Linked DNA regions of Rattus norvegicus. The main gene of each other region encodes a partner of the protein of the gene in region 6 in a complex. Links are inferred from orthologs where the notes say so. Each region holds a gene or a part of one and is shown on either strand. Other genes may lie near its edges.

Region 1 (4,175 bases), on a different chromosome or scaffold from region 6:
CATTAGACATGTCTCCAAAATTCACCCAAAAATCAAAATACAGCCAGGCACTTAATTTTTGCACTGAGGGGCAGAGGCAGGAGGATCTAAGTTCCAGGGTAACTGGGTCACACAGCAAAACAAACAAACAAACAACAACAACAACAATATCACAAGGGGCTGGAGACAGGGCTCAGTGGTTGAGAGCACAGCTGCTCTTCTGGATGACCTGGGTTCAATTCCCAGCACCCACATGGTAGCTCACAAATGCCTATAACTCCAGTTCCAGGGGAACCAACACACTCACAGAGACATGCACGCAGGCAAAACACCAATGCACATGAAATAAAAATAAATCATTTAAAACAGAAGAAACAAACATCAAGGACTCAGATCCTCGGGGCCATCGTGCCCAGCCTGGTGACTCTGGGTCACGAGAGGGCTGGGGGAGCCTGCAGCACAGGGCCCTTCCTGAGAAGAGCTAGGGGTGGGGGTGGGGGTTCAGTGGCAGGAAGTGAGGCTGGAGCCCATTTCCTGCAGAGACTTCCTGAAAGGGTAGGAGGCAGAGGATGGCTTCTGTGAAAATGGGTGGTGGGAGGGTGGCCTTGGTGATCAGTGACAATGGTGTCCAGTCTGACCCTCAAATAAACAGTGAAAAAGAGGCACAGTCTGGCAGCCTGTGGCTAAGCTCCAGGGAGTTGGAGCCATGGTCATCCTTGGCTACAATGTGAGGTCAGCCTGGGCTACATGAGACCCTGTTTCAATAAAGGAACAAATAGAACAGTCAAACTCCTGAAGACAAGGCACAGCAAAGGCTCAGGGGCAAACATCACTAAACAAGAACAGGCGCACATACACAGCTCTTCTGGAGCTGTTATGGCCAGCACAGGCTAGTCTGGCTGTGAGGCAGCCATGGTAAGGTCCAGCCTACTACTGAGCTTTTGTCCCTCCTGCCCGGGCCCCAGCCACCTCCCAGGGTGCCCTTCCCCAGACTTTCTTTGCCCAATCCTGCTGAGCATGTCCCCTCCTGTGACTAGGCCCCTAATGGCCACCCTGGGCTGCCAGCCTGTTTCCACCCACCACAGCAGGGGCCGCTCTCTAATTACAGGGTGATCAGCACCAGTCTCCCTGGCTAGACAGAAGGTCAGTGTGGGCGCGGGCTCTCCTGCAGCAGGGAGGGGCAGTAAACACTTGCTGAACAGGCAGGGTGGAGATACCCAGCACAGGTGCATCCTGTCCAGAGCCACAGGTAAGTGTGGTGTAGGGACAGGCCGCCACCCCCAGATCTGCGCATGCAGTGGGATACAGAGGAATGGAAGGAATGGGGTTCATAGAGAAGTAATTAGTCCGTGCTCCAGCTGGGCAGGCCTCCCAAAACGAAGGAAAAAAAGCTCAGAGTGAAACGGGCCAGGGTGGACAGGGAGGGTGGAGCTGGGATAGTCACAGGCTTTTGAGTGGGGAGATACAGCTTTACACTGAGCACCTGCACCTGCAGGTGTTATGGCCACTGGCTCTGGGCTCCAGTCCCAGCACCTCCCATCAGAGGAGCAGTTTCAGGAAAGGAAATTCCTTCTCAGCCACCCTCCAGCCTCTCTGGGATCCAGCGTGTAGATGAGACGGCTGGAGGATCAAGCCTTGGGCTCCGAATTCAGAAACTTTCGGCTGGGACACTCCTGTACCAGCTGGGCCGCAGAGATATGGGAGTGTCTGTGCGTACCTGCGTGGAGAGGGTGTCCAGTCCTGGACACACCTGGCCATCCCTTCAGGGAGGCTCAGAGGCTGGGCGGGTGCTTTATGGTGGGAATAGACTGAAGGAGTCTCAGGGGCTCAGGGTACACCTAGTGGGGAGTGCTTACACAGCATGTGTTAGGCCCTGAGGTCCTGCACCACAAAACCCAGGGTCGCTCTGGAGTAAAGGCAGGATCAGGAGTTCAGTCATACGTGATTACAAAGGAAGTTCAAAAGCAGCCTGGGCTATATGAGATCTGCCTCCCGTCCTAACCCAAACATGGAGGTATACACGTGTCCTTTCCATACTCCACTGATTGAAGCAAGAGGATGAGTTTGAGGCTAGCCTGGATTACGTTAAGTTCAGATCAGAAAGCCTAACCAAAAAACAAAACCAAATATTCTACCATCAAGAACTGAGATGGGCATGTCCAGCTCTCCCAACTTGGGCCAACGCGCCCCTCGATAGAGCAGCAGGGAAACCTGGCCTCCTCTATTCCATCATGTCAGGTCCCACAACTGGGAAGGCCTGAGCCTGAACTAGGAGAAAAAATTTCCTTCCTCCCGAGCAGGACCTGCTATGTGTCCAAGGGAGAGAAACATCCCTCAATCTGGGTTGGACTTTCGGCCAAAGGCGTAGGCAGCTGAGGTCAGACACTTGATAAGCATCAAGTGGGCAATGGAACCCACGTGAGCCCTTAGGTCCGCCCACTTCCCGGAAACGCAGCAATCCTATCAAAAACGGTGACAAGCTCCGGAAGCGATCATAGTCCTTCCGGCCGCAAAAAACCTTGTCCATTCAAGAGATAAATCCGCAACGGTGGCGGACTGGGACCCTAGAGAGACACTGGTCACCTCCGGCCTCAGGTTTCCCCATCTCTCAGCAGCCCGAAGACCCTGAGCGCGCGCCCCGCCGCCTCGCGGCCCTCACCATCTTCCCTGCAGAGATAACTTCCGCCGCTGCACAGCCACTCGCACTCCCACCGGCAGTCTACCGCGCGCTCCAGCCTGAAAAAGACTGGCAGAAACTATAACCAATCAGCGAGTGACTAAATGGACCGATCCAATCGGAACGGGATAAGGCGGTGCCTACATAACGCGGCGGCGTATCGCGTCGTATTCCCACCGTGGGATTGAGGAGCGGCCGTAAAGCGTGACACCGGAGTGACGCAAAAGGCCGCGGTGCTCTTCATGCCCACTCATGGTGTATGTTGGGAAATGGCGCCTGCGCAGATGTGCACTCCTGACTGGTTCGGCGCCACACTGTGGGCGAAACTGGCTAATGCATGTGAATCGCGCTGGGCTGGGGAAACCCGCTTCATACCCTCTTCGCGCTCCTATCTTTCCGTCCTCGCCCTTATGGAGCTCTTTCTCTTTATCAATCCAAATATAATCCTTGAACGCGAACGTCAGGGCCAGCGTTCCCCGGCGACAGGAAACAAATCGCTGGAATTTTCGTGTTTTGAGATGGGTTCTTGTGGCAGCTGAAGCTGATCATGAACTCGCAATAGCCTGGTACGCAACTTCTTCAGTGCTGGCATGGCCGCTGTAGGCTACCAAGCCAGCACCTTGTTTTTTTGTTTTTGTTTTTGTTTTTTTTTAATCGTTATCATTTTGGGAAGAGGTTAGGGTTTCTCTGTGCAGCCCTAACCGGCCTGGAACACTCAGTGTTGACCAGGCTGGTCTCAAACTTCCTGAGATCTTGGTGCTGGGATTGCAGGTGTGTTTTAATCTGTCGTCTTGAGATACAAAGTTAGGTTCTCATGCTTGCCCAGTGTTAGGGTCCATGATTCGCCACCGAAGAATGATACCGTGGATTCAAATAGTATGTAAAGGCAATGAATGTTTTATTCTGCAGAAGTCCAGCATGCTGTGGTCTCCCATTACCAGAATAGACACCCAAGTGAACTTGGAAGTCTGATTTAAAGCACATTAGGGAATTCTGGGGTAGGTGACCTCTATGTTAATCTGTTGGGTCCATCTCTACAGACATTCCATTACTGGGGTGTGGGGGCTGGAAACTTACTGGGGAGGGCTGGAAACTGCTGCTGAGGAAGTCTGGAAACTGCTGTTGACCCAGCCATTGTCCTTGCCTCAGGCCAGGTGGCAGGGCAGCTTCTGAGGCCTGGACTTGCCTGGAATTGCCCAGTTCTTGGAAACTGATTTAGGCCTACTCTCCTTAACTGCCAGTTTGAAGTCTGTCATGGAATCAGTCTAGCCTTTTCACCAGTCAGCCTTTTTTACCCATGGATCCAACTCCCCTGCCCTTCTATTTATTTTTATTTCCTTTGGCTACTGGCGATGGAATCGGAGCTCTGCCCTGAGCTGTCCCGAGCAGGACAGCTGTTTTACCAAGCTTCTGGAAGGCCTGGTGCAGAATGTCAGTGATGAGCTCACTTGTACGGTTCCTCTGCCCCAGGAGACTCCCTGGGCGCCACTACCCAGGGCTCTTCTTCTTTTTTTTTTTT
Region 2 (3,976 bases), on a different chromosome or scaffold from region 6:
CAAAGTAAGTCCTCTACTTTGTTGTAAACAATGTTATGACAAACTAGTTAACACTTATAGTTAATATTTCATCTCCTTACTGCCAACACTGTGTCCTGTGTATATGTCTAACTGAATTCTATCAATACTATAGTAGATATATTAGAACTGAAATAATCAGAAACTTAAGTTGAAGAAAACAAGCAGGAAAAACTGTATGGATTTAGAAAAAGAAAGTATCATAGATGCTCTTCAAGTTTCTGAAGAAATAGCTTATTTTCAATTTAGCTGGTTAATCTCTTGGGTCTACCATTAAATTCTCATGTTACAAAAGCTATAATTATATAGAATCAGAATAAAATAAATAGAAACCTGGAGTCTAGAAACTGGAAAGAAAAACACGTTAGACTATTTACTATAGCAGTTAGTAAATGGTGGTTATCATAAACCCCCCCCCAAATCCTCTCACCTTCATTTTACACAAAACTATTTTATCAGACAACTTTGTGATAAAGATAGGAACTAATCAATGTCAATGCTTTTGTTCAGCTTTTCTTCTATAAACATTTTGTAACAGAAACAAGAAATTAAAACTAAAGGCTTTAAAAATCAACTATTTTCAAATTAGCTTTTAACATTAATAGACTTCCTAAGTGCCCATAGTTTACAAATATATAGACTATGATCTGACCACCACCACCCCCTCATAACAAACTACAAACAAAAAATCCTACATATTTGTTTCCTTTATTAAGAACAAGCAAAGGAAGTAACCTTGGTTTTGGAATTAAACACAATTTATGACACTATACAGTTCTGTCACTTGTCATACTGACTCTCTGGGAAAGTGACTTATTTTGTCTAAGCTAGATTCCTAATAACAAAAGTGGCAATTCTTCACAAGGCTGTAATGCAAACTAATTGATATACAAAATCCTTAACACATGATATGCATTTAGTCTATGTCATTTTGACTGGTATTGCTCATGGAAGAGAAGAGTCAAAAGGATGAAGAAGAAAATTAAGGAGCTGGAGAGATGGCTCGGTGGTTAAAAGTCCAAGTTCTTCCTAGCACCCACACACTGTGGCTCACTCTAGGTCTTGTGGTCTCCTTGTGTAGTGTATCCTCACACATATGGCAGACGCTCATAAACACACACACACACATGAGCAAAAACAAAATTAAATCTTTAAGAAAAAAAAACCAGAATGGAATAACATGGGATTAATTTACAGTCATGCAAGAAATATTTCAATCAGAAATGGTAGGTCGGCCAATGGTACCGAAGATTGTGCCACCAGTGAAGTCATAAATTTAAGTTTCCAAAACCACTTACTATATTCGGAAAAATGATGAAATCACTGAAAGCACATTTCCTCATCGATAAAGAACCAATTAGGGCACACACATGTAAACTGTTTAAGGTCTCTAAGTTAAAACAAACGAAACGGAATAGAAGGATGCAAGAAGAAAACAAATCAGTTTATCACACAGCTCTACCTTTCAGCTCAGGTCTTCAGGGTTGGCCAGAGAAGTTGGACAGGCAGCCAAGAGATGAAGTTAAATAGCTGAATCATAAGAACACCGGAATATTGGTACGCTGTGGTGTCTGAACATTGGGCCAGAAATGTTACCTCAAATGTACAAGCAATAAGCCTCAGGAAAGAGGAAAACGAAAATGTCACTCACCACGATCATTCTGCCATCAGAAGTTATTACTGCAACAGTTCCTGAGAACTGAGTCAAGGAAAGTATTTCCTAAATACAAACTGAAAACTTTTAGCCTAGAAAGGGAATGGTTCCAACTACTTAAAAAAGAGAAAGAATTAAGATTCAACAGAGTCACTGCTCGGAGGAATAAAACGTAAGTTTTTAAACTTGTTTCAACTGTACCTTGAAAACAGTTAATTAAACGATAGAGGGTATAGAATGTGACTGTTTGCCTCTGGTTTAAACAGCAATGTTTCCAACCTATGACACTGAGCAGGTTAGACTCACTTCTTAACCTTTAGAATAAAATTTAGATGGGAGCTAATCAATGTTGGATCTCTTTATGCATGGTAAGGCCCTTCTCATCCAATTAATGCCATCAAGTACCAATAATCCTTGCATCATTAAAACCTCTCTGTATTTAACTAGGGTTTCCTCTTTGAGCATATGCTAGGTGCAATGTTTTTGCCCTGACTTCAGAACAGCAATTCTATCTTAAAATCTCTGGGCTTTTTAAAAGCCATTCGTCACTCTCCAAACACCATCACAATACGATTTATTTTTATTCTACCGCATAGACATTTCAAGCGGAGGCATGGGACCCGAAATGCACATCTGAGGAGCATCTTCCTGTTCATGCTATCCCCGAACAAACAAGACTGTTAGGATCTACGAACTGGGAGTCCTTAGGACAACAGTTCACCTTAGTCCCAATGTTGGAACATATACAATCAACAGGCTACGTGCAGGAAAACTCTAACTACACCGAGATCTGTGCTGTGGGTGGAAAAAGCCACGGGTCCATCCGGGAGCTCCCTCCACGAATCCCGACCCCCGGTCCTCCACCCACTGCTCACTGCCCACCACTCCGGGCCCCCGTGTTCCCTCCCGCCCCCGCCGCGGCCTGAGCCGTCGCAGCGGCCCGCCCGAGGATACGGTTGATGTAGTTCTCCAAGGCAGACGTCATGCTGCTGGGCCCGGAGGTTCCGGGAATCTGAGAGGAATCAGCAACAAGGAGACAAAACACCGCCCGCTAGAAACACGTACAGATTCGCGCCCGCTGGCGAACGCAAATATCGCGAGACTCTGAGGCCTCAGCGGTGACGAATCAGTAAGAGAAAGGAGTCGGACAAACAGGAAACGGGGCGGTGCTGACTAGTGGGCATGCGCAGCGTGTTTCCGCTGGGCTTCCGGGTGGCGATCGGAAGGGGAGACAAAGGCGGGGACAGGCGGAAGTGTAGAGTTGTCACCGAAGGCGGACTGGAAGGAGACACTGGAGGGTTCTACCGGACGGGAAGGCACTGTGGTAGTTACTAAAGGTAGTGCGGAAAGACTCTTTCTGCCGGAAGACACACGAGATGAAGATGTTTCCATTGGCTAGAGTAGGAGAGAGATTCTTTGTTCTCATAGGCAATGTAGATGCAGGGTGCAAGGAGCTCTAGATTTCTCCAGCATGAGCCAAAAAAGTTTAAAAAGCCAAATAGCCCAGTACAAAGGGAGCATTTTGTAGCTCCACGATGTACATTTTCGGAGAAAACAACTGTATGAAAATATTTGTGTATTCTGAATTTGGCTCTTCGTGTCCTTAAACGAGCTTTTTTAAAAAACGAAAGCCAAATAGCTGAAGGTGCAGGAGCCTGCCTTAAGAAATGGATTTCATCGAAGTCTCGGGACTTAGCTTTCCTCAGGGTGAAGTTCAATAAATAAAGGCTACAGCCCCACTGTGAAGGGACTAATTGGAGAAAAGTGTAAACTAAGCACCGGGTTTGATTCTGATTCTGTCCCTCATTGCTGTCACTATTTTATGTCACTTCAACTCTGGACTTGAGTTTACTTAGTTCCTACTACAGAACTATTATTTTTCACATGTCTTGGTAAAAATAGGACTGACATTCTCCCTCATGCCTCGTGTGTGTGTGTGTGTGTGTGTGTGTGTGTGTGTGTGTGTGTGTGTGTGTGCAACTCACACTATGCAAGTCTTCCAAAGTCCTGTACCAATAAGTTATACCTCCAACCTCCCCCTACCCTGTCTGCTCCAATAATGTTTTATTTATTTATTTAATGGTGCTTTCACTTCAAAACTGGTTGTTAGGAATCTGCACAACTAATTATGGAAAAAAGCAATATTTCTTTTTGTTGTGGGTTTTAAAATCTTTCTTAGCTGAAGAATTATGGCTTTGGAGTGATTGAACTAGCTGTGCTTTGCTTTTAGTTAGAGACAGTGACAGTAATTACATCATCAAACTGTTGGGGAGCTAAAAGAATTCCTTTAAAGCTTGCCATACA
Region 3 (3,989 bases), on a different chromosome or scaffold from region 6:
TCCTCGGCTAGTGAGCTGGAAGCCAGGCCGGGATCCATGAGACCCTGTCTTTTAATAAAAAAGGGGGAGGAGGGAGTGGTGTGTGCTTTTAATCCCAGCACTCAGGAAGCAGAGGCAGGTGGATATCTGAGTTTCAGGCCAGACATCGCTACAGAGGAAACCTTGTCTCAAAAAAACAAAACAAGAAAACAACAACAAAAGGAGAAGGGGCTAGCCCCACCTTTCCTTTGATGCTCCAATAGGAACAACCTGGGGCAGTTTCAAATTAGTGTTTGGAATCAATATACTTGTTAAGTCAGAAGAGTCAGAGAGGTACACACCAGCCGCCTTCTTTTTGTCCATGCCCTTCCCCACACAGTTCAATGCCGCTGTGACCACCGTGGGCTCTGAGAAACCCAGCACTCTCTTCACTGTCTTCTCTATCCATGGTTTCAGCTCATCCAGTTCCCGCTTAGACAGTGCCATTTTGGAGGAAACAGAGACTAAGAGCTCAAATCGGACAAAGTACTACACCTAAAAGAAACCAAGCAAGAGTCAGAGAAAAGGAAAACAAAGCAATCAAGATAACAGTATAATAAGGGTGCTTTCCCCACTCCTATTTTCAACCCCTAGGCATGTCTCTCCATTTGATATGGAGAATACTTTCCCTAAAACCAAGCTTCAAAACAGGAGGAAAGGGTTCCATTAGCTTTTCTGAGTTTTTTTTTTTTTTTTTTTGGTTCTTTTTTTTTCAGAGCTGGGGACCGAACCCAGGGCCTTGCGCTTCCTAGGTAAGCGCTCTACCACTGAGCTAAATCCCCAGCCCCAGCTTTTCTGAGTTTTGAGATAGGGTCTTACAATGTAGCTCATGCAGAACTCAACACTTGGCAATTCTCCTCCACTTACCTAGTGAGGAATTCCGGGAGCATACCACCATGCCCCACTCATTTGATATTTTGATTCTAACTCAGCATCAGTCATCAACACTATCTGAAGAATAAACAAACTAGGAATAACCTAATCTGAGGAATGGGTTCTAACTTCTGACTCTGTCATATAAAGGATAGGCAAACAGAACATCTGAAGAGTCAATCTAGAAGTCAACCTTACTATTACGTCTACTCTGGAAGGCATTCTCTAACCCGGCTTTGACCTAAAACATCTTTAATGGATACAAATAAGAGGTTTTATTCAAGTCAGTCCTCCTGTTAAATCTCATAATCTTTAAGAATGCTGTCATTTCTCTGTAGATTTATTCATGGTTGTAAGCATTCTATATGCCAAAATGATTCTTTATTACTTAATGCAAATTGGTGTAAAATTTCAACACTATTCATGCTTACATTTGGGTACTCTTAAATCTCAAACATCTTCACCAGCATAAAGTTAACTTAATTTCTGATTTTCTTCCCAATGGCTGTATGTCAGTCAATTGACCTTAACTTCCCAGCTGACCTCCTCTTAGCACTGCCCTGTATCGTAGTGCGATCTGGGAAATGACTCTTTCAAGGTGTTTAAAGACATCTAAAAGATGCCACCTCAAATGACCATACAAGTCTGTGATCCCAGCACAAGGGGAATCAGGAGTTCAAGTCCAGCCTTGTCTACGGAGTTCAATGTCAACTCTTGGCTATATGAGACCTTGTCATAAAACAAAAAGATGCAGTCTAATTAGCTCCTACAATTGACAGACTTATCTCTCAGAAGATCTATCAATGCACAGTATTTAATACACCTGAATGAAGCTGAAAGGCTGTTCCTCAGTGACAAGTCTTATGAATAATCCTGGGATTGCTTTTTGGGCCATCATGAGATAGCAGTATACTGCCTATCAAAAAGAAAGCAAACACAGGCACTAAAGGTGGAGAAGAAAGCCCACTGAAGAGAGGATATAGTAAGCACTACCATTTATAAGCCCTTAGGTAAGCAAGTTAATCACCAGAGCCTCAGGATACTCATCTTAGAAAGTGGGAACATCTGACATAACACTCCATTCAGTAAATACTTAAGTTCCTATTACTTGTTAAGCAGAATACTTACTGCATGTAAAGACACATACAGCAGTGAACAAAACAGCCAAGAATCCTCGTGTTAATGAAACTTACGACCCACTACAATTGAGTAATAGACTGGAAAGTTTAAGCAATTTTCAAAATCCAAAGTAATAGGTGAAACACTAGAAGACTGGATGTGAGCCCAGGCAATATACTGACAAATAGATGTCTTCAAATTCGACCCGAATGTGCAAACGAAGCAGTCAATGGATAAGAAAGTTCCAATCACTACAGTTGTCACCAACCAAATAACTATAATAGCGAGGAGGCGTCAGTGTCGGTGTGGGCCTGGGGGGTAGAGGGGAACGGGAGGAAGGCAGAAGGCTGTCTTCTGAATGAGCAGAAAGCAGACTCTCATCTTCTGAAGGAATTCCTTACTTTTCTAAGCTACAAGCCCCTGAGTCCCCCATGCTCCCTCTTTACTATCTTTCCAACTGGCCCCCGCTTCAACCGAGTCCGACCTAACTCCTCACCTCAGAGCAGGTCTGCCCACCCTGCTCCTTCCCGCCCCCGCCCTTTTCCTTCAGCAAGCCCATTCTGATTCCGTCCCCCAACAGAACCCGGGGTTCCTCTCAGCCTGCTTCCCGCCGAACACTCCCGCCCTGTCCAGCCGCTCGGACCGAAGGCTATCCTCTCGGGCGCAGGGCCACTACTCACCTCACAAACTTCAGCCCCTGAGACGGAGCCCGAACGTTACACCGGAACCGGAAACCTTCCGGTTGCCCTATGGCCCGCCGTCGCTACCGCCAGAGCCACCGCCACGCTGCGGTCCCTATAACACGTGACTTGAGAAGGCGGGACCTGAGCCGCGCAGCCGCGGTATCAAGGTGCCGGCGGCCGGGCGCACGCGCGGCGGGATCCTAAAGCTTAAGTCCGCTCGCTGACTTGCCGCGGAGCAAAGCCAACGTTAGTCCAGTCCTGATTGCCGGGAGCAGAAGTCGTTTGGCAGCACATTCCCTTGGGTCAAGAGTTAGTGCGCTAACCTTATTGCTAGAACTAAAAGCAAGGACATCCACATTCGTACTCAAAGTGTCCTTTATAGTAAAAACAAACAAAAAAAATATTAGGGGTTGGGGATTTGGCTCAGTGGTAGAGCGCTTGCCTAGGAAGCGCAAGGTCCTGGGTTCGGTCCCCAGCCCCGGAAAAAAAGAAAAAAAAAAAAAATTGAGCTGGAGAGATGGCTCAGCGGTTAAGAGCATTGACTGCTCTTCCAGAGGTCCTGAGTTCAATTCCCAGCAACCACATGGTGGCTCACAACCATCTGTAATGGGATCCAATGCCCTCTTCTCGTGTGTCTGAAGACAGCGAGAGTGTATTCACATAAAATTAAAAAAAAAAAAGTAAAACCTTCATGATAGAGCTGGAGAGATGGCTCAGTGGTTAAGAGCACTGACTATTCTTCCAGAGGTCCTGAGTTCAATTCCCAGCAACCACATGGTGGCTCACAACCATCTGTAATGGGATTTGATGCCTTCTTCTGGTATGTCTGAAGATAGCGACTATATATATATATGTATATATATATATATATATATATATACATATATATATATAAATCTTTTTTTTAAAAACCTTCATGCTATTGGAAAATTCTAATTTCCATCTTACTAGGAAACAACTTCACTTTCTAATGAGTCTACCGCATATTTCTTCTAGTTCTAGTTTCTGTTGGGGTTGGTAAGATGGCTCAGTGGGTAAAGGTGCTTGCCACCAATTCTTGCAGCCTGAGTTCAATGCTCAGGACCCACAAGGTAGAAGGAGAGAACCGATTCCTGAAAGATGTCCTCTGACTCCCTCAGGTGACTGTGGTGTGTGCGCACACACACAAGGTACATAAATACATGTAATCTGTAAAAGTCAGTTTTTGGCATAGTGGTGGTGTATAGTCCTTAATTCCAGCATTTAGAGAAAGGCAGGCAGATCTCTGAATCTGGGGCCAGCCTGGTCTACAGAGTG
Region 4 (4,035 bases), on a different chromosome or scaffold from region 6:
CCCCACCGTATGTATTAAGGTAGTGTCTTTAAGTTGAACGCAAGAGCTTGTTCTGGGGTCTCCACAGGTGTTAGGGATCTAAACTTCAGCACTCAAACTTTACCCACCAATCATCTGTCCCACCTTTACTTTGCCCATTTATAACTTGTCCAGAGCTTAACATGCTTTGGCATCTGTGGGCTCAGGCAGGAAGGATTGCAACCACAGTGTTTAGTGCAACCTCCAAAGTTCATCCCTTTTACTAACAGCAAACCTCCTGGGGCTTGTTCAGAACCCACTTATATGTTCTTCTAACAAAGTGCTAAGTGCTTTTGCCTGCTCATATCAAGATTAAAAATAGCCAGGCGCCACATTGAGAAGGAACTGCTTGGCAGCTACACAAATGAGCAAAATGTTCAGCTGGAGAGCAGGGAGGAAACAGAAACCTGGGCCACTTACTACAGAGGTAAGAGCTTCAGACACCTCCAAACTAAAGGCGATGGTCTAGCCTGGGGTCATTCCATGTGCCGAAGAGCCTTTCAATTTAGCTCCATCCCATGTTTCTCACCAAACTGGCACCGCTGTTTCCCTAATGCTGGCTTGTAGATCAACAGTCCAATTTCCTTCCAAGTCACAGAGGTTCTTTATCCTCAGGTTTCATGAAAGAACTAAAAATTTCTTCATAGAAGAAAGACTGAGACTGTCCCCCACACTGGCTCTGTGGGTGCCAGTATGGGGCTATTTCTAAGCCTGAACTAAAAAGACTTAATTCCAATTCCCGTTGTAAACCAACAGCTCTGAGGAAAGTAACAAGAAGAGACAAAACCCTAAGTGCACAATAATGCTACTTCAAGGGACCAATTCCACAGGCATCATAAATGTGCACAAGCAATATATGTAAAAGTGCACAATGCAGTTTTAAGGCTGGAAAAACAAAAAAGTGACCGAAGCCTTATAGAGAATCCTGGGCAACTGTGTCAGCTGCATAATCATTCCACACAGAAACCGTGTGGAAAAGGTGTGTACATACCAGACAAGGTTTCACTATGTAGTCCAGACTGGCCTCAAATATATGACCTTCCTACCTCAGTCATCTAAGTACTGGAATTATGGGCACATGCCACCGTACCTCACTAGGATCCTCCTTCAAACACAGACAGCATATACACATGCAGAAAAGATGTGGACGACTATGTAGCCAACTTTGAATAGTGCAGAGAAAATGGAATTTCACCTTTAGATTTCTATGGTGTTTAATTTTTTTTTGGTAGTGCTAGGGGCTTTGCCACATACTAGGTGAACGATCTCTGGCCTGCTATTTAGTTTTTTTCATGTCAAAGGAGAGTTTTATATGTCGAAAACCAAAACACCCTGTCCAATAACTTTTAAAAACATAGGACAATGGCAAGAGTGGTAGTGCATGTCTAAAATCCCAGTTCTAAGGAGAGAGAGGCAGGAGGATCTTGAGTTTGAAGCTAGCTGGGTTACATAGTATGACCTTGTCTAAAACAAAAAGAAGTTTATTCATTTTAAATAAACAGAGGACAAAGCTGAAGAAAACAAAAGTGTTCTACAGGGTTGTAGAGATGCTCAAATTAAGAGCACTGGTTATCCCTGCAGAGGACCTGAGTTTGGCTCCTAGCAACCACACCAGGCAGCTCACAACTGTCTGTAACTCCAGCTCTGGGCAATCAGATGCCTTGTTCTGGTCTCACAGGAGTCCCATCCCTCTCTAAAAAACATTCTGGTTAAGGAAAAAATATTTTAAAAGCCAATAAAGGAATTTCCAACTCCCAAAAGTCATTGTATAATTAAAAAAAATAAGTTTATGTTGCAGTTCTTATCTGTAAGGAGGTAGGAAGGGATGACAGGGGAGCATCTGGTTTTGAGATAACTTAACAGACTTACATGTAATCTGCCTCGAAGCTCTCGGTCATTTCTCATTTTCACATAAATTCGCTCATCCAAGCTGAGTCTTATAAGATCCAGGGGCTCCTCTACGGTATTGGTGGTCTGTTGCTGATGAGAGAAGAAGGCTTAGTAATGGAACACTGAGGTAGTGTGGTGTTTCAATCACTGTTAAGCAGTGAAAGCAACATGTGGGTGTTGGTACACAGCCAGGGTTGTCTACAAGAGCCAAAAGTGCTCTTAACCACTAAGCCCCAATAAATCCCTATTAAGGAACTTATATTCTAGTTGTGGAACGAACATTTTAAATAAAGAACACATTTAAAACAACATGCTCTGAAGAGAAACACTGTGTGCCAGGTCTTTGCTTGTTTTCTATATACTACATCTCTAGCAGTTTCTCTATCTCACATAACTGCACCTTTTATCTGACCTCCCCTCGTAACACACTCCAAGTGAGCCACTGCCTGCGTGCCAGGTGCTTACACGTATTACTATGCTGGTGTCCTACCGCTACAGTACTCTTTCTGTCGGAATCCCGACCGTATCTCCCATAGATGGGATATCCACAGCCGTCTGCATTCTACAGAGAAAGGGCGACGACGAGCGAGATGGGCAGATGGGCGGGTTGAGAAACTCTGGGCCTACGGAAGTTTTAGGAGCAGGCCTGGCTGCGGAAGGCCGTGGGAACTCGGGAAAAAGAAAAGGGCCATTCCACGGGAAGCGTGGAAAAAGCAAGCCCGGCTAAGAAACGAAAGCACTTCCTCTTCGGACGCCCCAGGACAAACTTACCTGATCTACGTCGTCCGCCATGTTTCAAACGCTGCGCCCTTTCCACCTCTCGCGAGAGCAGACACTAGGAAACGTTGGGCCGCCACGCACTGGAAGGCGAACTACACTATTTTTGTCCCTTCGCGCCCTTGTAGTTTGCATGGGGGCGGGATTTTTTGGAGGGCGTGGTCCTATCCGGAGCTGGGGGTGCGGCCAGGCATGGCACGCCTCGGGGCGGAGCCGGCACGCGGAGACTTTCGGCAGTCCTGCGTGGTTGTCCGGAGGAACGCCTCTGGCTAGCATGGCCCGAAAGCGTACCGCAGGCGGAAAGCGGAGGAAGCGCGGCCAGGAAGCCGAGGACAACAAAGCAACCCGGCCTGAGGAGAGCGATGCGGGTGAGAGGCCAAGTCTGCAGCATGTCAGGCGATGGTGGCGGAGGCTGGGGCGGGCGGCGGAGCGGATCTGTGTCTACCGCAAGGTCTTTACGGCCCGATGCGTCCCCCCTCCAGCCCCCGAGGGCCTCTGCTATCTGTCTTAACCCCTCGGTTAACCTTTAGTACCAAGTTCAGCCCCATAGCAAGTGTTGAAGGCCGAGCTGGAGAAAGCTTCGCAATTGCCTGGTATCTCAGGAGATGCCAAAAACCAGGACCGAGGGAGACCTGTAGTGAGAGATCTCTCTCATCAAGTTCCTGACTGCCATCCAGTGTAACTCCAGCTCCGGGTTTTTAGGATGCGCTTTCTGTTACTCTTGTTTTTTGCTTTGTTTTTCCAGACAGGGTTTCTCTGTGTAGACCTAGCTGTCCTGGAACTTGCTTTGTAGACCAGGTTGGCCTCAAACTCAGAGATCCGCCTGTCTCTGCCTCCCTAGTGCTGGGATTAACCGGCATGCACCATTACGCCCTGGCTGGAATGAGTTTTTAATCTAGATCTTGAACAAGATCCATCTTTCCCCTTAAACATATCCATCCCCCCAGTTGTTCTATTTCAATAAATCATCCCTTTTAAAACACACGTTAGAACACATCTCTTCTTAACTGCCAGTTCGGCATCAAGTCCAGTTCAGCTTTGGAACCACCGAAATCTGTACTTAATTCTCTTAATTTTATAGCTAGAGATCTTGTCCATATCGTTAAGGAAATGAACTTCAGGTTGCTTCTTTTCTGGCTTCCTCTCATCTGTCTGCCCCATCATCTAGCAGCCAAATGGATGTAGAACCACAACAAAACCTTATGCCTCTGTCTTCTTACTTAAAACCTCCTTAGGTTTATGCTCTCCAAGTATAGCATCTACCTCTCTTAGCTTGTTTCCCACAAGATTTGGAGGTTGTCACAATTCTACTCTGTCTCCTCTCCAGATACTCTTATTTTGATTTTTTTC
Region 5 (3,500 bases), on a different chromosome or scaffold from region 6:
GTTCGGCACCAATGTTGTGATAGAATCATGGCAGACCACACCAGGCCAGTGTAGTTCCACATGAGAGAGGTTTATTGTGGAGGAAGGGGACAAAAGGGGGCAACGAAGACGAAGGGGGTTAAAGAGAGAAAAGAGAGAGTGCAAAGGTCAAGAGGATCTGCCTTTTATTTAAGCTGTGATGTAACCGATCACAGGTAAAGGTGAGAGGTAAACCAAATGGACGCTATGAATGAATGTCTGGCAATTGCCACGCGTGGTCCCTGTCACCTCTGGGTGATGTCATTGTCATTGCTGGGTTTGAAGGCGATCTGTAACCAACCATAAAGCCGGTTTCTGAGGGAACCACATAAACACAGTGTGGCCTGCTGAGTAGTTTAGCCTACTCAACAGTGGCAGAACTCTCCTGCTATGTGTGAGGGCTTCGTTCCTCTAGGCCTCTGTGCCATCTAGCAGGGCAGGCAGTCTCTGCAATGTTCCTTTCCTTCTCATAGAGCCAGAGCAGACCGGCTGCGCCACTGCACACAGACTAAGCCTTAGGTGTACATCACTATGCTGACTTGAGATGTGCATGCCAGAAAAATGGGAGACATTCTATACAAAGCCAAAGGGCCTACCTACCCTTGCGGGAATTTTGCAGGGTCCCAAGGTCTGAGGCACATTGGGACTTCCCTTCTATGATGAAACCCAGTACTCCTACTGCAATGACACCTAATCTCAGAGCCTGAACTCTACAGGGGCACCCTCCTGCCTACTGCCAAGTACTCTGGGTTTTGCCATGTGGTGAGTCCTAAAGGGACAGACAACAACAGTGAGTCTGGGTTCTTCTCACTCCACAGATCCAACACCACCAGCACCAACTGTGCTGATCCTCGACAAAGAAGAGAGCTGAATTCTCCTGCACATCTGTTCACCTATGAGGAAGATGATCCCAGCAGGGAACTAGGAATGGCTAAAAACCTCGAACACACCTGACCATGAGCAAGGCAGACGTGCAGCTTTGTCAGGTTGGAAATAGAGCAGAAAAGATGGGTGGAGCAAAAGCAAGTACAGCGTGGATTCCAGTAGGATGACTGAGTCACAGGCAGACACTTCCCACAACTAGAAGCTAACTTGTCTGCTACCCTACGAGCAGATTCATGGCTCTAGAAAAGCCTTAGGACCGCAGGACTAAGAAGGAAAAAGCCCCGACCTAGGGTTAAAGTCACTGAGGCGACTGAGAGATGGTCTGAATGAAAATGCCCTCCCCACCCCCACAGACTCATAGGGAGTAGCATTATTGGAGTGTAGCCTGTGCGGCCTTTCGGAGTTAGGGTTTCATTGAGGGTGGGTTTTGAGGTTTCAGAAGCTCAAGTCACAGTCTCTTCCCACTGACTGTGGATCCAGATATAGAGCTCTCAGCTGCTTCTCCAACGCCATGTCTGCCTGCGTGCCATCATGCTTCTGTCCAGGAGGATAATGGACTAAACCTCTGAACTGTAAGCCAGCCTCAATCAGATGTTTTCCTTTATAAGAGTTGCTATGGTGAGGCAGGGCCATCCCTTCAATCCCAGCACTCAGAAGGCAGAGGCAAACGCCTGGTCTACAAAAAGTGAGTCTAAGACAGTCGGGGCTCTGTTACACAGAGAAACCCTGTTTCAGGAGGCAGGAAGCAGGGGGAGTTCCCATGGACATGATGTCTCTTTCCAGCAATAGAACCCTAACTAAGACACAGATTCGGCAGGATGGGCCTTCTATCTGTTCCTCACTTTAGTCAGCATGGTGCCTGGAAGACTAGCTGGATGTTTCCCAAAGCTCCTAAGAGCACCAGAAGACAAAAATGCCTTGTAAGTCAAGGCCTCAACCTAACATGAAGTAATACCACATACACCACGTGCATCCGTTAACCTATACAACAGAGCACATAGGTCTCTGAATGTGCAATGCTGTTGGAGAAGCTCCCATAGGCTTCATGCCCTACTTTTACTTCTCCAAACCTCGCCACCAAGAGGCCTAGAACAATTCAGTCAAGCTGTGAGACCAGCACTGACTCCCAGGGGGTAATCAAGTTGCCTCCATTCTCTGAGGAGATCATTTTACAGGTCAGAGGGTCTTCAGTCTTATTTAGTGTTTCTATTTGCAAGTATAAAGTTAGGAGAAGAATATGGCACGATACTGAGTACCTGTACGCAAAACCCACACAGCAAAACCAAAAAGATTATGCATTTGAGGCTAGCCTGGGCTACATGTAAGATTCTATCTGAGAGATAGATAGAAATAGAGATAGACACACACACATACACACACACACACACACACACACACACACACACACAGAGGGAGAGAGAGGGAGGGAAGGAGGGAGGGAGGGAGAGAGATGGAGAGAGAGAGAGAGAGAGAGAGAGAGAGAGAGAGCGCCTATAATAAAAAGAAGCAAAAGCACCAACTGATGATCCAGACCTCAACAGGGTCTAGGTCACTTGGTCACTAATGCACGTAGAGAGCTAACCCTTGATACCCACACAAGAGGGAAAAGAAAATCCTAACTCCGGTATGGCACATACTTAGCATTTGCTTGGTGTGTGCACATGGTAATAGTGGTGTTTCTGTACTACTTCTTTCTCTACCTTTGTGCACTTCAAAATTCCATTTCCAGAACACAAGCTATCCTGGAGGGACTATATACTTAGAGAGTCACAAACCTGTTCCTGTATTATGAATAAGGAAAAATTGGATGACAGTGATTGTTGAGCTCACACACTATAGAAAGGTAAAAACGGTGCCCTTCAGTCAGTGTGGGAACATTTCTACTGGAGTCCATTCTCTATAGAACTCCAAGGGCAAAAGCAACTAGCCCAGAAAAAAGGACTGGCAACTTTACCAGCTTCTTAACTACCCTCGCAAAACGTCTGAGCAAAGGAAGAGTGAACTGCTCTCCAAGAGAACAAAACATCATAAAGCAAGAACACCTTCAAGGCACAGTTTAAGGGGTACCTCCCAGAGAGGCTTACCTTTCCGAAGAACACGCTTCTTTGCTCGAATGTCTGTTTCTAGTTCTGCTGCTCTAATGTAAATCCTAACAGACTGTGGGAGATGACGGACAGCTTGTGCCACCACAGCCTTGGCTGTGTCCCCAGGCTGTAACCTAGCTGCTTCTAGCCAGACATCTTCACTCTAGGGGAAAAAACAAAGAACAATAAGAACATGGGCAGGTATGACTGCCTGGGAAGCTCTAATTTTTACCTAAAATTCAAAGAATTTCACAGAGGTTTTCTTTCATTATCAGATATACCTAGTTTACACAGAAGAGTACATGACATTGTTGGTTTTATTAACACTTTCTAAATTCGTCCTAATCATCCCACCTTCCAAAACACAAGTGCTAGAATATTCTGAGAGACAGCACTAATCTGTGTTTTGTTGTTGTTTTGTTTTTTGTTTTTTTTTCCGATTTACTTATTCTTATTTGATGCATACAGGTGTTTTGCTTGGATGCATATCCAGAAGAGGGCATCAGATCCCCT
Region 6 (3,500 bases):
CACCAGCCCCTCTGGAAGTCTCTGGGACAAGTTAAAACTGGCTTTGCGGTTTAGGTTACTAAGGAGCGGACGGCTCAGTGTTTCCTGCGTGTGGACGATGAGTCAATGCAGCGCTTCCATAACCGCGTGCGGCAGATTCTGATGGCCTCTGGCTCTACCACTTTCACCAAGGTATGTGGGCATAAACCTTCGTTTCCCTGCCAGCCCCTGTGTCTTGGCATCCCTTCAGCTCCTTCCTGGTTTGGATTCCCACTTTCCCAATTTTGCCTAATATTCTAATCTCCATGTATTATTTTGGGATGGCAACTTAGAATGTTAGATCTATTGGGGTTTATTTCTGAGGATTCCCTGCAAGAATTTAATAGGCTGTATCTGTGGGGTTTTGATGATTTTTTAAATCAGAGCAAAAGTGGAGTCTATAATTTGAACAAAAGTATCTATTTTGCATTTTCCCTTGGCTTGTTAGCTAAGTCAAACAGCCTATATTTTAGGGAGTAGCATAAAATGCAGGGTCTTTTGTTTGCATTTATTTTTCCTTAGGTTGTTCCTGGGGCCCACTTAAGACAGCTGGAGATTTGTATGTTTAGGGTCTTGCAAGGCCAGATCTCCCATGATGAAAACTTTTTAAATGTGGCTCTTAGGAATTCACTTCTCCTAAGATAACTTCTGTGCTGTAGGTATTTTGCACATACTAGATACCAGTTGCAAAGTAGAGCCCTTTCCCTTTGAGAGAGAGGTACATGATATAAGAACCACTAATATGTGATGTTTATGGAGTCATTGCATTATCCGAGAATACTAGAGTTCATGAGTTCAGATCCTGTCTGAGTGGAAGTAGAAAGACTTCTACAAGAAACAAGGTGAAGGCGTTCAGCTTTAGCAGAGGTGTGGAAAGGTACTTAATTAGTACGGTACTTGCATAGCTATAAGAAGTTTAAGGTTGATGGCTCAGCGGTTAAGAGCACTGACTGCTCTTCCAGAGGTCTTGAGTTCAAGTCCCAGCAACCACATGGTGGCTCACAACCATCTGTAATGGGATCTGATGCCCTCTTCTGGTGTATCTGAAGATAGCAACAGTGTACTCGTGTAAATCTTTAAAAAAAAAAGTTTAAGGTTTATTGTAGTAAATTGTGGAGTTGGAATTTTTCTAGATCCCTGGAAAAAAGAATTTTAGCAAATATAAAAGTATAAGGCATTCTCTTCTTTTTCTTTTTTTTCTTTTTTTTTTTTTTTTTCCAGAGCTCGGGACAGAACCCAGGGCCTTGCGCTCGATAGGCAAGCGCTCTACCGCTGAGCTAAATCCCCAACCCCGGCATTCTCTTCTTTAATTTTATAATTTTTTTCCAAGGCATAGTTTCTCTTCATGCAGCCTTGGCTGTCCAGGAACTTGCTCTGTAGAACAGGCTGCCCTCAGACTCACAGAGATCCACCTGCCTCTGCCAGCCAAGTGCTAGGATTACAAGCGTGCATCTCCACCACCAGGCAGTTTTCTGATTCTGGGGTGAAGGTTGAAAGCTTAAGGATGAGTGAGACTGTCTGGAAGAGTGGAGAGAGGAGAAAAGACAGATAAGATAAGGGTGATGGGAAGGAAGCTCTGAGGTGCACTGACCAGAACCGAGCAGGTATTTAACAGCCTCAGTTGCCTGAACAGTTTAGTAGATAAGACTGAATGGGAGCCAGTGACATTGGCAGTTAGGACGTCATTGGTGACCTTAGAGCTATTTCAGTGCTGGGATGCAGGCCAGATGGTTTGCCAGAACTGGAGTAGGTGCGTTAGAATCTCCCTTTTTCAGAGGGAGCTGCACATCAGGACAGGGCTTTTTGTTCTATTTTGGGAGTTTTTACTTTTATTCACTTTTTTTTTTTTTTTTTTTTTTTTTTTTTGAGCTGAGGACCGAACCCAGGGCCTTACGCTTGTTAGGCAAGCGCTCTACCACTGAGCTAAATCCCCAACCCCTTTTATTCACTTTCTTTTCTTTCTTTGGTTTTTTTGTATAATTTACTTGTATACAATGCATTATAATCATATTAACCTCTTTCATGCCCCCTTCCTGCTGTCCCTTCATTTAACAAGGTGTGTGTATGTGTGTGTGAAGAGACAGAGAGACAGGGTGGGGGTGGAGTGTTGTGCAGTTCCATAGCCCTCTTCCGATTCTTTGAGGCATGGTCTCTTCTGGAGCCTGCAGCTCTAAAAGCCTGTGAGCTCAAGCAATCCTCCTGTCTCAGCCTTGCTCAGAGCCTTATGGAGGAGTGATGAGAGCTGAGGGGGGAACTTCACAATTATGGTTAGATGTGCATGATCTTAGGACTTTGGGCGGTCCTCCACCCTCAACTTGATTATCTATAAAGTGAGGATAACCATAGTTCTTAGCTCAGAGAACTTTTATGAAAATTAAATAATATGTACAGTAGTCCAGTAAGCCATATTATTTTATAAAGAGCTTTTATTAATTAGATCAGAGATTACGATAAGAGCATAATGTTGGATTTGAACTTGTTTACTTTTTCTCCTTTGCTTTTTGTTCATTTGTTTGCTTGCTTAAGATAAGCCTTATGTATAATCGAGGCTGACACTGAACTCTTGATCCTTCTGACTTAGCCTCCAAAGTACTGGGATTACAGGCATAAGCCATCTGACACTGATAACAGGCCTTAACAAGTACACATTCCCACACATATGTATATATGTGCACTGATACTAACAGGTGTACACATCATATATAGCTACACTAGAAGACCCCAAAAACCACCTCCACCTCCACCCCGTTAATAGAAAATCTCGAGGAGGCTGGAGGTGATTAACCCTAAGGTCAATTAAGCTCCTTTTCTACCTCTTTTTTATTTATATTTGTCTTGTGTACTCACAAGTATACACGTCACGACCTATGTGTGGACGTCAAAGGACAGCTTTCAGGAGTCAATTTTCTCCTACCATGCAGGTTTCCAGGGTTAAAGCAAGGTAGGTCCTTCTGATTTGGCAGGAAGAACCCTCGACTCCACTGACCTGATTTGTCTTTTCAGCTGTTTATTTTTGCTATACTGGGGATTGAACTCGGCCAGGCAGCTGTTTTACCACTGACCTATATTTTGAGATTAAAGTTTCCCTGTGTTGCCCAGACTGGTTTTGAGCTCCTGGGCTCAAGTGATCCATTGACCTCAGCCTCCCAAATAGCTGAGACTATAGGTGTCCGTCACTGCTGTGGCCTTTAGTGTCCTCAGTTTCCCTTTCCTCCAGTTTTGTTAGAATCATGCTGTCACTCCCACCTGGGTTACCACTTCTGCTTTAGGTGTGTGTGGCACATTTAGCTCAAGAGTACATATGACCCTTCTGTTTAGTCGTGGTCCTAACTGGCACACACAGACCTCGATGAGGTCCAGGAAAACAGCTATGTACCCCTTAGGTAGTCTGACTGACAGCTCTGTTTGCTTTGTAAGGTCAAAGGCTGCCTTCCTGATTAGTTCTTTGTCTTCCTGCAGTCAGCAGTGCTGTTTCCTTCTTT
Region 7 (4,300 bases), on a different chromosome or scaffold from region 6:
ATAAGGGCAAAGTACTTGAATTTGTGTAAGTTGAGCATATCCAACAATTTTTTTTTTGGTTTTGAGGCAGGTCTGCCTCAAATGTCTTTCGTTCATGCTGCCTACATGACTGGAATTACAGAACGTTACACCTGCCAGGAAAAATATTTTCTAATTCTCAGGCACCCTGAGCCCATAGGAAGCAGCTGCTAAATGTACTGACTGCTTCTAACCAGTGACAGCCTCTTTTAGATTCAGGTGTTAAAGTTTCTGTTGAAACTCGGTAACATCTTGCTTGGTAATCATGATGGATCCAGCTCTGAACACAGTGATGTGCACAGGTGGAGTGGGGTAGGTAGGACAGAGAGGGAAGACACATCTTAGGGTCTTGCTGGCAAGTCAGTCTAGCTGAATGAACCTGTCCATTCCAGGATCAGTGGCAGATCCTGTCTCAGAAAATGAGATGGCTAAGTCGTTAAGGACATATGTTGCTCTTCGGCAGGACCAGGGTTTGATTCCCAGCACCCGTATGGTGGCTAACAACTATAACTCCAGAGGATCCAACACACTCTTTTAGTGTCTGGGAACACTGCACATGTGGTACACAGATATACGTGCAAGGAAAAACTCACACATATAAAATTTTAAAATATTAAGTAAGTGGAAAGAACAGCCAGCATTCATCTCTGGCCTACACAGGCAGGCATGCTCCAAGCTTCACCCAGACCCCCAGGAAACCGACTTTTTTGGTATCATGCAATCAGCAGGCCTAGTCTCTCAGAATTCTCACCTGTGTACCATGACTGCCTTGCACCAACAGCCAGCCTCGAGAAGACAAAATAGCAAGTGTTTTCCTATTTATCCAGACATGATATCTACAGAAGCTATAACCTAGCAACTTCCCATTTAATTACTAGTAAAAATAATACGGCTGGAGAGATGGCTCAGCGGTTAAGAGCACTGACTGCTCTTCCAGAGGTCCTGTGTTCAAATCCCAGAAACCACACGGTGGCTCACAACCATCTGTAATGGGATCTGATGCCCTCTCCTGGTGTGTCAGAAGACAGCTACAATGTACTTATATATAATAACTCAATCTTTTTTAAAAGAATATGCAAGTCATAATTTTCTCAATCTTCCCAATAATTCTCAGTAGAAAGCGTAGAGTATGAGCAAGTCACCCGGCACAGAGAAGAATCTAAAAAATTATCAGGGAGGCGAACTACATCCAACGCGCAGCTGCTATGGCCCACGCACGCGCTCGGGAGGGAGGAGTTCCTTGGGAGGAAGTGGGAGACAGGAAGTCCCGCCCTCCTCCCGGTTTGGCGGTCCTCTCTGCTCTGCCCTACTCCGCTCCCTTTGAGCCCAGATTCAGCCGCGGTTTTCGCGGTTCCCCTTGCGCCTGCGTGATCCTGTCCTGCCTCACGCGCGGGCTCGTGCTCCGGCTCCCGCCCTGCCTCCGGCCCGCAGTCCCCGGCGCCTTCCTTCGCGGTCCAGGCCGCCCCTCGTGGCGCCAGCACCATGGTGGGTACCGTGACGTCAAAAGGGAGCGCCGCCGCCCGCGGCGGGCGGTTCGAACTGTTCGGGTCTTGGTTGCGCTCTAGTGTTTGTTGCCTTGGGCTGTAGCTAAGCCCTAGGGTTTTCCTTACAACCTCAGGGCCCACACCCTGTGTGAGGAGACTGCTTGGAACCAATGGTTTTTTTGGGGAAACTTCCAGCAAGTCCAAGAGAAAGCCCACGGGCGCCGGGGGAGAACGGAAAGCTAGTCTTGCATTTCCGTGCTGGAGATCAGGATTTTGTGAGGGTGCGGTTGGGAAGCGGTCTCGAGCAGGGAGGTGGTCGATTCGGAGAGTGGGTTCTGGCATCGAGGGGTGCAGCGCAGTTATTGTCTCTCTGTGGCCCCAGGAATTGCAGTCTCTGTTAACGGATTGTTGATGGTGGTGAAATTTTGAGAACTACTAGGTGGGGCCAAAAGGACTGGTATTTCAAATGCCGTCACGGGTTCCTCCTCCCTGTCCCTTTTCATGTGATAGTTCCTCCCTCTTTTCCAATAGCTCTTCTACTCCTTTTTCAAGTCCCTTGTGGGCAAGGATGTAGTCGTGGAACTCAAGAATGATCTGAGGTAGGTCTTTATTTCAGCGAGTTGGTGGAAGGTGGGAGGTGCCTGGTGTCCTGATCGTTTTCGTGGTTGTTGTTCACAAAGCTATTTTAGAGCAGAGGGGCAAAACACAGAAGAAATATCTTGTGTCTTGAGTGTAAAGATTAGTTTAAGAGTGAGCCTGGTGCTGTGGCACATGCGTGTAATCCCAACGCTGATGCAGAATTGTGAATTCAAGGACAGTTTGGTCTACATATGTCCAGGGCCAGCCAGAGTTACACAGTGAGATACAGTTAAGTAACATGTATGTGCAGTCCTGGATGTCCCGGAACACACAGATCCGCCTGCCTCTGTCTCCTGAGTGCTAGGATTTGCCCTGCTGTATCATTTGCTCTTAACCATTCAGGAGTGGATTAAATGCTGTATCACTGGAAAGATGTTTATGGCTTCTTGTCACATCATCCATTAGAGTCTACTTTCTTTTTTTGTTTGTTTGTTTGTTTATTATACATAAGTACATTGTAGCTGACTTCAGAAACACCAAAAGAGGGCATCAGATCTCATTATAGTTGGTTGTGAGCCACCATGTGGTTGCTGGGATTGAACTCTGGACCTCTGGAAGAGCAGTCAGTGCTCTTAACCATTGAGCCATCTCTCCAGCCCCTAGAGTCTACTTACTTTCTTTCTTTCTTTCTTTCTTTCTTTCTTTCTTTCTTTCTTTCTTTTTTCTTTTCTTTTGTTCGGGGCTGGGTACTGAACCCAGGGCCTTGCGCTTGCTAGGCAAGCGCTCTACCACTGAGCTAAATCCCTAATTCTAGAGTCTACTTTCTTAATAGTGCTTAGAAAATTATAGGTGTCACTGATGTCTATTTTTTTTTTCATGTACTGGATGGGCATGCTCAACAGGTGAACTTCATTTCCAGCCCTCGTGTTTCTTTTTAAAATCCTTTTATTTGTAGACTCTTGAAACCTTTGAGCACAGGTCAGTGCTTGAGAGCCTTGATTCTAAGACAGAACGTGGTGTTGACAAGCAGGATGGTTATGGCCAGTGTGGGCAAGTGAGAGGCTGGCCCAGGCCGGGGTGGAGAGTAGCTAAGACTTTTTCTAGTCTAAAAGTCAGACCACACAAGTGTTCTTCCACAGAGCAGTGGGGGTTCGTAGAATGTAGAGAGTGAAGAAGTAAAATGCAGGATCTGGGGTTGTTAATTAAAATTTTAATTCCTCTGCACCTCCGTGCAGTGGGTAAATATAAGATGGGTAACATGGTGTGGGAGCAGTGGCTTTGATAACTGTACTCAGGACTAGAGGGTGGGGGAGTGTAGCATTAATAATAGTTAATTTCAGCTGCCATGTATATGTAGGTCTCTGGCTCCAAAGCATAAATGTTTACAAGTAACAGCTATTGGAGCTGCAGAGATGGCTTGGTGCTTTAAAAAGAGCTTGCTGCTCTTCCAGAGAAATAGAGTTCAGTTCCCGGCAGCTACATTAGGTGATTGACAACAGTTTGTTGGGCTGAATACAACTCCTTAGAACTCTGGCTTCAATGGATCTGATGCCCTCTTCTGGTCTCTGTGGGTAACTACATGCACATACACACAAATAGTAAAAATCAGTATTTAAAAATAATGGATGTTTCTGGGAGTCGTGCAGATCAGGGCTGACATTCCAGTTCATTTGTGTAAGTTTTGGTACCTTACATGACCTCTCATAAGTCCTGGATGATACTACTTTGAAAGGTGATTAGCTGAGTGGTTGATGGCTGTTCATCCCTTAAACCTTTAAACCTAGCCCTCAGGAGGCAGGGGCAAGGGCAGGGGCAGGGGGGAGTTTGAAGCCTGCCTTATCTACAGAGCTAGTTCTAGAACCCCACAGGGAAACCCAGTGGGCAATGGCCATGAGTAGTGCTCCTAGCTGTAGTTCTAGAACTTCAGAAGTGGAGGTAGGAATGCCAGAAGTTGGAGGCCAGCCTGGGCCAAGTGAGAACCTGTCTTAAAGTGGAAATACTAATATTAAATGGAGCATAGGCCCGGCCTGACTACGAGCTTCTGATGTGTTGGTGTGAGGACAGACTGAGTCTGAGGTGCTTTATCATTTCCACCTCAGAACTTACAGGGGCTGCCTGCTGGCTTCAGGGCCTAGAGTTCCTCCCCCCTTGTCACTGTAGTTCTGATTTTCCCTCTGCTGATTCCAGCATAAATGAATGCTTCTCTCCTCTTTGCTCCC

The links.
Region 1: Prpf8 (region 6) and Lsm4 share a complex: the UniProt entries of both Homo sapiens proteins name them as parts of the U4/U6-U5 tri-snRNP complex. The link is inferred for Rattus norvegicus from reciprocal best matches to the Homo sapiens genes PRPF8 and LSM4.
Region 2: Prpf8 (region 6) and Lsm8 share a complex: the UniProt entries of both Homo sapiens proteins name them as parts of the U4/U6-U5 tri-snRNP complex. The link is inferred for Rattus norvegicus from reciprocal best matches to the Homo sapiens genes PRPF8 and LSM8.
Region 3: Prpf8 (region 6) and Prpf3 share a complex: the UniProt entries of both Homo sapiens proteins name them as parts of the U4/U6-U5 tri-snRNP complex. The link is inferred for Rattus norvegicus from reciprocal best matches to the Homo sapiens genes PRPF8 and PRPF3.
Region 4: Prpf8 (region 6) and Lsm3 share a complex: the UniProt entries of both Homo sapiens proteins name them as parts of the U4/U6-U5 tri-snRNP complex. The link is inferred for Rattus norvegicus from reciprocal best matches to the Homo sapiens genes PRPF8 and LSM3.
Region 5: Prpf8 (region 6) and Prpf6 share a complex: the UniProt entries of both Homo sapiens proteins name them as parts of the U4/U6-U5 tri-snRNP complex. The link is inferred for Rattus norvegicus from reciprocal best matches to the Homo sapiens genes PRPF8 and PRPF6.
Region 7: Prpf8 (region 6) and Lsm2 share a complex: the UniProt entries of both Homo sapiens proteins name them as parts of the U4/U6-U5 tri-snRNP complex. The link is inferred for Rattus norvegicus from reciprocal best matches to the Homo sapiens genes PRPF8 and LSM2.

What each region holds. Positions count from the first base shown.
Region 1 is NC_086034.1:18,792,057-18,796,231, forward strand, and holds the start of Lsm4 (U6 snRNA-associated Sm-like protein LSm4), read right to left. Parts: upstream 2,801-4,175; 5' UTR 2,726-2,800; coding exon of another isoform or gene 2,642-2,725; coding exon 2,639-2,641; intron 1-2,638. UniProt on the Homo sapiens protein: Plays a role in pre-mRNA splicing as component of the U4/U6-U5 tri-snRNP complex that is involved in spliceosome assembly, and as component of the precatalytic spliceosome (spliceosome B complex).
Region 2 is NC_086022.1:48,270,952-48,274,927, reverse strand, and holds the start of Lsm8 (LSM8 homolog, U6 small nuclear RNA associated), read right to left. Parts: upstream 2,801-3,976; 5' UTR 2,658-2,800; coding exon 2,627-2,657; intron 1,711-2,626; coding exon 1,670-1,710; intron 1-1,669. UniProt on the Homo sapiens protein: Plays a role in pre-mRNA splicing as component of the U4/U6-U5 tri-snRNP complex that is involved in spliceosome assembly, and as component of the precatalytic spliceosome (spliceosome B complex).
Region 3 is NC_086020.1:186,089,628-186,093,616, forward strand, and holds the start of Prpf3 (U4/U6 small nuclear ribonucleoprotein Prp3), read right to left. Parts: upstream 2,801-3,989; 5' UTR 2,691-2,800; intron 514-2,690; 5' UTR 466-513; coding exon 321-465; intron 1-320. UniProt on the Homo sapiens protein: Plays a role in pre-mRNA splicing as component of the U4/U6-U5 tri-snRNP complex that is involved in spliceosome assembly, and as component of the precatalytic spliceosome (spliceosome B complex).
Region 4 is NC_086022.1:125,576,950-125,580,984, reverse strand, and holds the start of Lsm3 (U6 snRNA-associated Sm-like protein LSm3), read right to left. Parts: upstream 2,801-4,035; 5' UTR 2,701-2,800; coding exon 2,680-2,700; intron 1,999-2,679; coding exon 1,888-1,998; intron 1-1,887. Other genes in the region: Xpc (DNA repair protein complementing XP-C cells), read left to right, coding at 2,960-3,053. UniProt on the Homo sapiens protein: Plays a role in pre-mRNA splicing as component of the U4/U6-U5 tri-snRNP complex that is involved in spliceosome assembly, and as component of the precatalytic spliceosome (spliceosome B complex).
Region 5 is NC_086021.1:189,118,965-189,122,464, reverse strand, and holds part of Prpf6 (pre-mRNA-processing factor 6), read right to left. Parts: intron 3,151-3,500; coding exon 2,988-3,150; intron 1-2,987. UniProt on the Homo sapiens protein: Involved in pre-mRNA splicing as component of the U4/U6-U5 tri-snRNP complex, one of the building blocks of the spliceosome.
Region 6 is NC_086028.1:60,839,778-60,843,277, forward strand, and holds part of Prpf8 (pre-mRNA-processing-splicing factor 8), read left to right. Parts: intron 1-54; coding exon 55-171; intron 172-3,500. UniProt on the Homo sapiens protein: Plays a role in pre-mRNA splicing as core component of precatalytic, catalytic and postcatalytic spliceosomal complexes, both of the predominant U2-type spliceosome and the minor U12-type spliceosome.
Region 7 is NC_086038.1:3,848,866-3,853,165, reverse strand, and holds the start of Lsm2 (U6 snRNA-associated Sm-like protein LSm2), read left to right. Parts: upstream 1-1,500; coding exon 1,501-1,503; intron 1,504-1,672; coding exon of another isoform or gene 1,673-1,783; intron 1,784-2,033; coding exon 2,034-2,101; intron 2,102-4,300. UniProt on the Homo sapiens protein: Plays a role in pre-mRNA splicing as component of the U4/U6-U5 tri-snRNP complex that is involved in spliceosome assembly, and as component of the precatalytic spliceosome (spliceosome B complex).